2 linked regions of the Rattus norvegicus genome follow. The protein of the gene in region 1 interacts with the protein of each later gene in a biochemical or structural test. Links are inferred from orthologs where the notes say so. Each region holds a gene or a part of one and is shown on either strand. Other genes may lie near its edges. The genes, in order: Insr and Grb10.

Region 1 (4,354 bases):
TGAAAATGGAATATGTCTGCCCTGATCCTATATGAAGTTTCTACCGTTGTTCTAGACGCCTTGTTATGTTCTTCTCGGAGTCATTTCTTTATTGATTTCTGCTGGAATTCAGCGCTGGGTGGAGGGGCTCAGGCCAGGGAGCACAGGCTGCCTGCGTTGTGGACACGTGGCTCTGGCCTGGAGGCTGGTGCAGCCACGCTGCTGGGCGGGAGCTCACTGGGGAGGGAACTTGTTGGGCTCCCACTAGCTCCTAGACAGAGCAAGGGTTGGGAGAATCCAGTAAGGCATTAGGAGCAGAGGTTGTAAAGCGAAACAGAATCAAGAGTAAAGAATTAAACTGAATTCCCCACGGGAGTCAAAAAGTAGTAAAAAGAGTAAAGAAAGTCAAGGTCTGCTTGGTCGAATCTGGCATCTGGGGGCATATTGGCGCTCCCACGTTGTGATCAGAGACTCGAGGCTATAGAGCTGTTTGGGATGTTCATGCCCTGAGGAATCTGAGGGGGGCATTTCCAGGCTTTTAAATTGTTATTTCGGGACCATTTGGGGTGTCCGAACCAGGAGGAGATCTAGAGTGAGCTCCAGACCTTTAAATTGGAACCTCGGTGTTATTTGTGTTTGCTGCAGTCTGGAGGTGACCTGGGGGCGTCCCTAGGCTTTTACATTGGAACCTCAGGCCTGTTAGTGGTTTTCGCGTTAGGAGGGGATCTGGGGCTCCCTAGGCTTTAATATATTTGGTTGTGAGCCTAGCCTTTAACGGCTGAGCCATCTCTCCAGCCCTCCCTAGGCTTTTAAATAGGAACCTTGGAACTCTTTGGGGGCAGCTCCCGACGTCTGACAGGGGAGTCTCAGAGTTGTTTGGGTGTTTATGTCAGACTGGTATCTGAGAACACTTACAAGCTTTTTTTTTTTTTTTTTTTGGTTCTTTTTTTCGGAGCTGGGGACCGAACCCAGCACTTACAAGCTTTTAAATCGTAACCTTTCTAAATCGGCAGTTCGGGGTGTGTGGATTGGAAGAGTCTGGGGTGCACGCCGGGCCTCTGAAGTTGGGGGCTCCACAGGAGGAGTCGAAGAGGCGACTGGGCGAGCGGGCAAAGGGGCGAGAAGGCGTGGCATTGCCAGCTCTGGCCACGCCTCCCAGAGCTCCGCTGGCTTGTCTCTCCCTACCCCACCCCCCCCCCCCCCAGCGGGCCTCACTTGTGCGCGCAGTCCCTTCCCTGCCTTAATCCGCGCCACCTTTTCCCTTGGCCCGCGCGGGCCCAGCTGACGGGCCGCGTTGTTTACTGGCCGGAGTCGAGCCCTAGCTCCCGCCGCCGCCACCAGCCCAGGTGCCCTCCCGTGCGCGCGTCCCTCTGTCTCAGACTCCACACAACGCGACCCACCCAGAGCTGCGCGGAGAGGAGAAACGGGAGACCCGGCCAGGGGACGCACCTTGGTGAGCTCTGGACTCTGCGATTGCGGACACAGGACCGGGCCTGGGTGACCCGGGGTTGTAGTCTGCGGGCCGCGCCACAGTGTTGCTTGCAGCCGAGGCCTGTGTGCTCTTCCCAGGACTGTCCCCAGGGCCCTCTAGGCTGGAGATCTGCGGCCCGTAAGCCACCGGCGTGGAAGAGAAGGACGTGCGGCCCCTAGCGCCTGCCTCTCCAGCGACCTTCTCGCGGAGTATGTCCCCAGTGGGCCGGCGTGGCGTGCTCTGATCGCCGGGGTCCCAGCGCTCCTACTGCTATGGGCTCCGGGAGAGGATGTGAGACGACGGCGGTGCCGTTGCTGATGGCCGTGGCCGCGTTGCTGGTGGGCACAGCCGGCCACCTGTACCCTGGAGAGGGTAAGTCTGGCACACGGGGCGATCACAGTGTGTCAGGGACACTCCTCCCACCGCCCCAGCTAACCTAGAGCCCTCACCCTAAGGAGTGAGGGTCGAGGACACCCCCTCTCCACTGCCACAGCCCACATAGAGAACTCTCCCTTTGGGCTGAGTAATGGACACCCTTCCCATCGCTCCATACAACTTAAGAGCACCAACTCCCCCATAAAGGACTCAGGGCACCCATTTCACCACCCCAGCAAGATAGTCCTAAGGACTGAGAGTTATGGACATTTCTCTTCCTCGGCCAACCTAGACCTCCCTCTCCAAGGACTTAGGTTGAGGACTCCCCTAGTGTCCTTGTGTCTATGAAGAGTCCCCTCCCTAGTGAGTGATTACCTTTCCCCTGGGGAAGGGGGAAAAGTGGGCTTGGTGGCCCTGGTCCTGCGTGAAGCCGGCTGACCTTGGCCTTTGCCCGCTGGGTTTGTGGCTCTGTACCCCGCGTATGCCCATCTCGGGTCTGAGGAACCTTGCCCCAGTGCCCGCCCAGCCTTCCGCTGTCTGTCCCCAGTGCACCTCTCAGTCGTGTCTGTTCTTTTCTCTAAACCCAAATCTGCCCTCCGAGGCTCTTTGGGGTTGCCTTAAGTAAGTATGGTTACTGGGGTGCAACAGATTCAGACACCTGAGCAGTTTAAACGCAAAGTCCGGGGTATCCTCATCGATGGAGAAGCGACCCTTTGTGTATAATAAGTTCATGGCTGCCGTGTTTATAAGTTTCTACTTTCAGATGTCTAGAGGCAAAGTCTACATACCTTTGGCCCCACAGCAATCATAGTAACAGTAGGGGTAGCTTTCAGGATGGTTATAATTAGAATGATTATGAGTCTCCAGGCTGGTTTGCCCTAGAACCTCCCAGTGTTCCCCTGAGGCCAAAAGTGTTGCACACCCATTTCACAGAGGGCTAAACTGAGGTTCAGTTAGCGTGCTAAACTCACTCGTTCAGAGGCTGGTCTTATACTTCTGTGCTTGGTTATGGCCAAGGCAGGAGGATAGCCAGTTGCTTGTGGCAAGCCCAGCTATTGATTGAGTTTGAGGCCAGCCTGGGCTAGGTTAGGCACTGTTTGAAAAAAAACAAAAAAAAAAAAAAAAAAAACAAAAAAAATGCAGTGACAAATGCCTTTTGAGTTACTGGTTCAGCTTTCTCTGAAAATGGAAATTAATTACCAGGAGGAAGGGGTCCAGGAGAGAAGGAATTGCAGCTCCTTTGTGAATGAGGGAGGTGTGCGTATTAGGGGGGAGACTGCAGGATTCTGGAACAGATTGGGTTGAGCTTATGGAGTGGATCTGTTAACCTGGTAATGAGGTCCCCAGCATCTGATATACAGAAGGTGCTCAATGAAGGATGGCCATTGATTTGGGGTGTGTGTGTGTGTGTGTGTGTGTGTGTGTGTGTGTGTGTGTGTGTTTGCAGACGCCCTAGGTTGACTTTGGGTGTTTGTCTCTGTCACTCTCGACCTTGTGTTTTGAGACAGGGTCTCTCAATGAACCTAGAGTTTGCTGATTTGACTGTACTGTGTAGTCGGTGAGCCCCAGCCCTCCCGTACCTCCTTTTGTCACTAGGGTTATAGATGTGTCCTGAAGTGCTGGCTTTTATGTGTGTGTGTGGTTGGATCTGAACTCAGGTTCCGATGTTTGGGCAGCAAGGGTTTTCACTTAATGAGCCTTCTCCCCAGTCCATGGTTTGGGTTCTCATTAAGGAAATCTAAGAATTGTTAACATCTACACTGCTCCCTGGGGCTCTTTGGGATTGCCTTAGGGAAGTAGGGGTATGTTGTATGTGTGGCTGTGCACTCGGGCACCTAGTGTCGTCCCTTGAGTTCTGTTTTTACATTCTTTTGGTAATTAATTGTTCGTCTGTGCCTGGATTTCCTGAGTTCAGAAAACAGAGCTTCTGTGGCTTTGTATACCTGCAGGGTTCGCGAGGACGGGGCCTGGTGTTTGTTCCTCACTGATGTTAGAACCTCAGCAGTGCTGGACACGTAGTAGGTGCACATAAATGTTTGTTCCCTACTGGTACACAGAGGACTTGTGCAGTGAGCCTACTGGGTGTATGGCCAGAGTGTAGTGCTCCCCGTGTGCGCACGAAGTCCCTGGATTTCATCCCTAAACTCACAGAAACCGTGTGTCTGCCTGTCATCATAGCAGTCTGAAGATATAGGCAGGTCTATCAGGGGTTCAAGGTCACCCTGGGCTCCGTAGTGGGTTTGAGGCCAGCCTGGGCTACAGGAGACCCAAACGACAATAAATATGATCTCGTGAGTCCTTCCCGCACCTCTTCAGAGCCTCTGGCTTTTGCATGGGAAGAAAGGACAGGACTATAAAGGTAGCTGACTGGCCGCTTGCCTACGACGGCAGTTACTTGCTGCTTACTGGGTTTCTTGTTTCCTTACTTTTAAATTAAATTAATTAAATAGTGGATTAATTAATCTCTCTCGAGACCAGGTATGTGTAGCCTAGGCTGGTTTGTGTAGACCAGGTTGCCCTCTAACTCAC
Region 2 (4,276 bases), on another chromosome or scaffold:
TACTGCTGTGGGTTTTTGTGAGGGGAATTTCTCCAGGGAGGAGGACTTGGAGCTGGAGTTAAAGCCAAGGCCTCATCATGGCTCTACACTGAGCTGCTTCGTCTGCCCTCCATGTTGTTTTAACGGGCTGAGAAACAGACACTGGATTCTGCACAGGCTTCCCTCCTATTAAGTGCCAACACTGAAATGTCCGGCGGGGAGCACTGAGTCTCCACGGATGGACAACTGCCCCCAGCGCACAGTTGCAAATAGACACGACGGTCCTGTAGTTTCTTACACGTGGAACAAACTTTCAAGCAAATAGGTTCTCTAAATCACACCATCTATAAAATACCAGTTTAAAAAGAAAGATAGGCCAAGCAAAAATCTGTACAGCTCTAAAATGAGCTAAGGGCACATGGATGGCTTGGTTCAACCAAAGTTTGGCTTCGAAACACTGTAAAGCCTGTGACCCAGCGGGTTCAGCCACATCCTAAATTTTGAGCTGGATCTTTGGTTCTGATTTTGTCCTTCTTGCCCAGTGGAGGCTAACTGGACAGACACAGCTGCTCTGGCTTCCAACCATAGCAGTAACCACCACCCAAAGTCCTAGACAATTAGCCACCAAAAAATCTGCCCTGCTTTCTGGTTCCCTAGTCCGCCTACAAAATCCACTTTGACCAACCCAACACTGGTTCAAAAGCAACATAGGCCAAGTAGTGTGTAATAAGTGATTTAGGTGCCACGAAGCGTTTTAACTTTAATCATAATGAACAAAAATATCATATCAAACTCATGGCTTGATGAATATTGAAGTTTCTTCTCAAAGTAAATGAGTATGTAAGTTAAAAAAAAAGAAGAAAAAGAAAAAAGAAAAAAGAAAAACCTCAGTGATAATTGCTTGGTCTACGTGGCATTAATCTGGAAGGCTGGAAGCAACTGGTCTAAGAAACCAGGCCCCGTCCTCCATTTGCTCTGCTGTGTGTTGAGCAGGGTGTCCCTCCTCTACACCATTTCTTCTAGAAGTGGACATGCTTTTGCAGACGGTAAAAAGCTCAGGAGGTCTCCCCAGAGCTTTGTCCTTTGTTAGCTGGTGCGGCCTGAGGCATACCAGTTAACCTCCTGAGCCTTGGTTTCCAGACCTGTAAAATGGGGACCGTGGGGGCCACGAAGCGCATAAAAAGCAACAGGGCTTTTGAAAGCGCCTTGTAAACTGCGAAATGCTACCTCAGTATCAGTGGCTACACTTCTCAGTTACTGCAACGCCTGCTGGGCTGCAACTCCGTCTGTCCTCAAATTCCCTCCCTGTAATGTGGGGACTGGCCTCTTTCAAATGTTCCCAGTAAAACTCAAAAAAAAAAAAAAAAGTATGTTCAGTAATCCTAAAGTTTTGATTTTTTTTAAAGACAAAAATTTGGTAGGCGAGACTCATTCCTGGGAGCACATTTGATCGCAGCACTCTTGGTGAAATAGTTCTAAGACGCCTCATCCATCGCCTTACACAATTCCCTCAGCTGCAGAAATCCAGAACTCGAGGTCCACTTCTGTAAAATAGGAACCTCACTAAAGTGTAAGCCTTAGTCTGTTCTCGAGGGGGTGAGGTGGGGGGGGCGATGTTAACGACTGGAGTTCTGGTAAAGGAGAGCGAAACGTTAAACTGAGCACCATTTCTGAAACTCAGGGGCTCCAAATGGCTGAATCAGCAATTTCTGAAACAAAGTCTTCTGGGCCTGGCCTTTTAAACAGCCGCAAAGGGAAAGTTGTGCAATAACACATATTTACTCACTAATGCTACTTGTTTTGGACTTTTTCTTTGCATCTCTTGAATGAAACAGTTACAAGAAAAGAGTTTTTTCAAAAACATCCCAAAGACCCGGGGCCTTGTAAAAATCACCTGTGGCGCTCCTACTTTTTTGGTTAAAGCAAATGAAAAGAAGTTCGCGGGGTTTCTTCCAATGCCAAGAGAAGGCAAATACAATTTTTTTAAAAAGTGAATACCCTAATTTCCATAACGCACATGCCGCAGGCCCTCGCCAGGCAGGCGTTTGGAGAGGCAATCAGCAAAGGCGGAGAGTTGCATCAGAAATTTCCTTCTGCAAACGGTACCGCTCTTATCACGTTTCCACCGCTGGCGGGCTGCTTTTTCGCGAGCCCTCAAACTTGGTGTTAGGCCCCAGCGACGGGTAGCGGGGCCACTAACAGACCCGAAGAAAGAAAGGGGTGGGGGTTGGGGCACGAGGGGGGGGGGTAGGGACAGATCCTCGGACCGCGGCCCGGGCCGCGCTCGCTTGGGACTTGGGAGTGTCTGGCACCGCTGCCCGGCCCGCCTGGCGCGCGCGCCGAGGCCGGGGGCGCAGCGGGAGTACCCGCCGCTCCGGTGATCCCCGGGCGCCCACCCTCCAGGGCGGTGGCCCCCGAAAGCGCGGCCTTGACCGCGGCCCCCGCCCGAGCCCCCCGAGCCGTCGCCGTCGGACAAGACGGCTCAAGAATGTCCCTCTCGGGGCCCCGAGCCTCCCCCCGGGGGCCAGAGCGCAGTGGAGAGCGTCGCGGGGCGCCGCAGCCGCGCGCCCGCCGTCCCGTCCCGCCATCCCGCGCCGTCCCGCCGCGGGCCGGGGGCGCCGCAGCCCCTCAGTCCCTTAGCCCCCCGAGGCGACGCCCTTCCGCCCGCCGCGCCTCGCGGGGCCCCGCGTCCCGTTCGCGGGCGGCCCCGAGCGCAGACAATGACGGCGCGGGGAGCCGCCCGGCCGCCGGGCCCCGCGAGGCGCGGACCACAAAAGTAACTTGCCGCCGCTCCCCGCCCAACTCCTACCTGGCGTGCAGCTCCTCGTCGCCTCCGCGTGGCCGCTGGCCACACGTTGCACGAGTCCCTGCGAAAAAGCCGAAGGCAAAGACGGACACTGGACGGTCCCAGTCGCCGTGCGTGAGACGGTGCGCGGAAACTTCGTGCTCCCGTGGGTCTCGGAACGCGAATCCCGCCCGCCACTGGTCGCAGCGCCCTTCTCTTCCTGCCGCCTCCCCGCACCCCACCCCCTCGATGGGCTTTAAACTCTCCGGGCCCCGCCCGCCCTCCCCGCCTCCGCCACCGCCTCCGCCTCCTCCTCCCCCGGCCGCTTTTCCTGCTCCTCCTCCCGCCGCCGCCCGGACCGCTCGGCGGCCGCCAGCGCGGGAGGAGCCGCGGCCTGGGCGCAGGGCGTGGCGCGGGGGGCGCGGGCTCAGCGGCCGCGGGGTTGGCGTGGCACGATGCTCTCCCGCCCAGGCCGGCGCGCGCCCACCATGCTCGCAGCTTGCGGGACCCCCGGCGCCACGCCACCGCCCCGGTGCGCGGCCGCGCCGGCGAAGACCGACCGGACCTGTCCCGAAGGGCCATTCGGAAGGGAATTGTTCGAAACTCAGAAAGTACTCCCCAACCGCACAGTTCAAATTCTTCCTGGGCTGCGGCCGCCCGACACCGTCGTGGGCAGCCCCGGGCCCGGACAAGGAAACTCGGGCTTGCTCACGGCGGGTCGGTCCGAGCCTCACCTTTCTCAGCCTCAGTTTCGCCAGCTGCGTGTGAGTAGCCGAAGGAGGGAAGCCTGAGAGGCCCTTCATTGTTTCTTGAGGCAGCCTAGCAAGCCTCGTGTCCTTTACCTCTGAAGTGGGGCCCTCCTGAAAGTAAAGCCCAGACGGGCCGTGCCCGGTTTCTAAAGTGACCCACGAAAAGGCAACAGGGCTTATGTGATCGGCCCCTTCGAAATAATTCTTAATGTCTATATTGTGTCGCTTTTCTAGCACAGATAGGATACCAATAATTACACCTTTTTCTTGAGTTTCGGCTTGGTAAAAGCAGCCCCAACCGTAAATCACCGTAGTCGAGAAGACACGTGGTGTGAAACATTCGTGAGTTCTCCTACTTCTCCCTCACTCAAACTTCTGAGGTTGTTTCTAGAGCAACTGTAGAGAAGTAGAGAGACTGAGTCTCTTAAGAAGTAACTTCTAGAAGGTTGAGAAGCTGGGAGGGAGCTCAGGGCAAGGATTTGAAAGCTGTGCTGTGCACGTATTGTCCCGACGCGCTTTTTGAGAGCACTGCTCTGGTACCTCTTGCTTCTAACCGTGGTTTTTCCGACCTCAGATTGATGTAATCAATGAAAAGTTTTCCCTTTCTTATAACTGAACACTCACTCCTGTTTCTGGCCGTTGGTCCAGACTCAGAAACCCACAAGGTGAAAATCCAGAGGAAAGGATGTGAAATAAGTCTTCGATTCCCCGGGAAAGGAACACAAGAAGTCTTTTGTAGACAAAGGACTCAAAAGCGAACCAA

What was found.
Region 2: the proteins of Insr (region 1) and Grb10 form a complex in vitro, tested with the Homo sapiens proteins (5 studies listed by BioGRID and IntAct). The link is inferred for Rattus norvegicus from reciprocal best matches to the Homo sapiens genes INSR and GRB10.

The regions. Positions count from the first base shown.
Region 1 is NC_086030.1:6,125,824-6,130,177, reverse strand, and holds the start of Insr (insulin receptor preproprotein), read left to right. Parts: upstream 1-1,374; 5' UTR 1,375-1,722; coding exon 1,723-1,822; intron 1,823-4,354. UniProt on the Homo sapiens protein: Receptor tyrosine kinase which mediates the pleiotropic actions of insulin.
Region 2 is NC_086032.1:90,813,394-90,817,669, forward strand, and holds the start of Grb10 (growth factor receptor-bound protein 10), read right to left. Parts: upstream 2,995-4,276; 5' UTR 2,789-2,994; intron 1-2,788.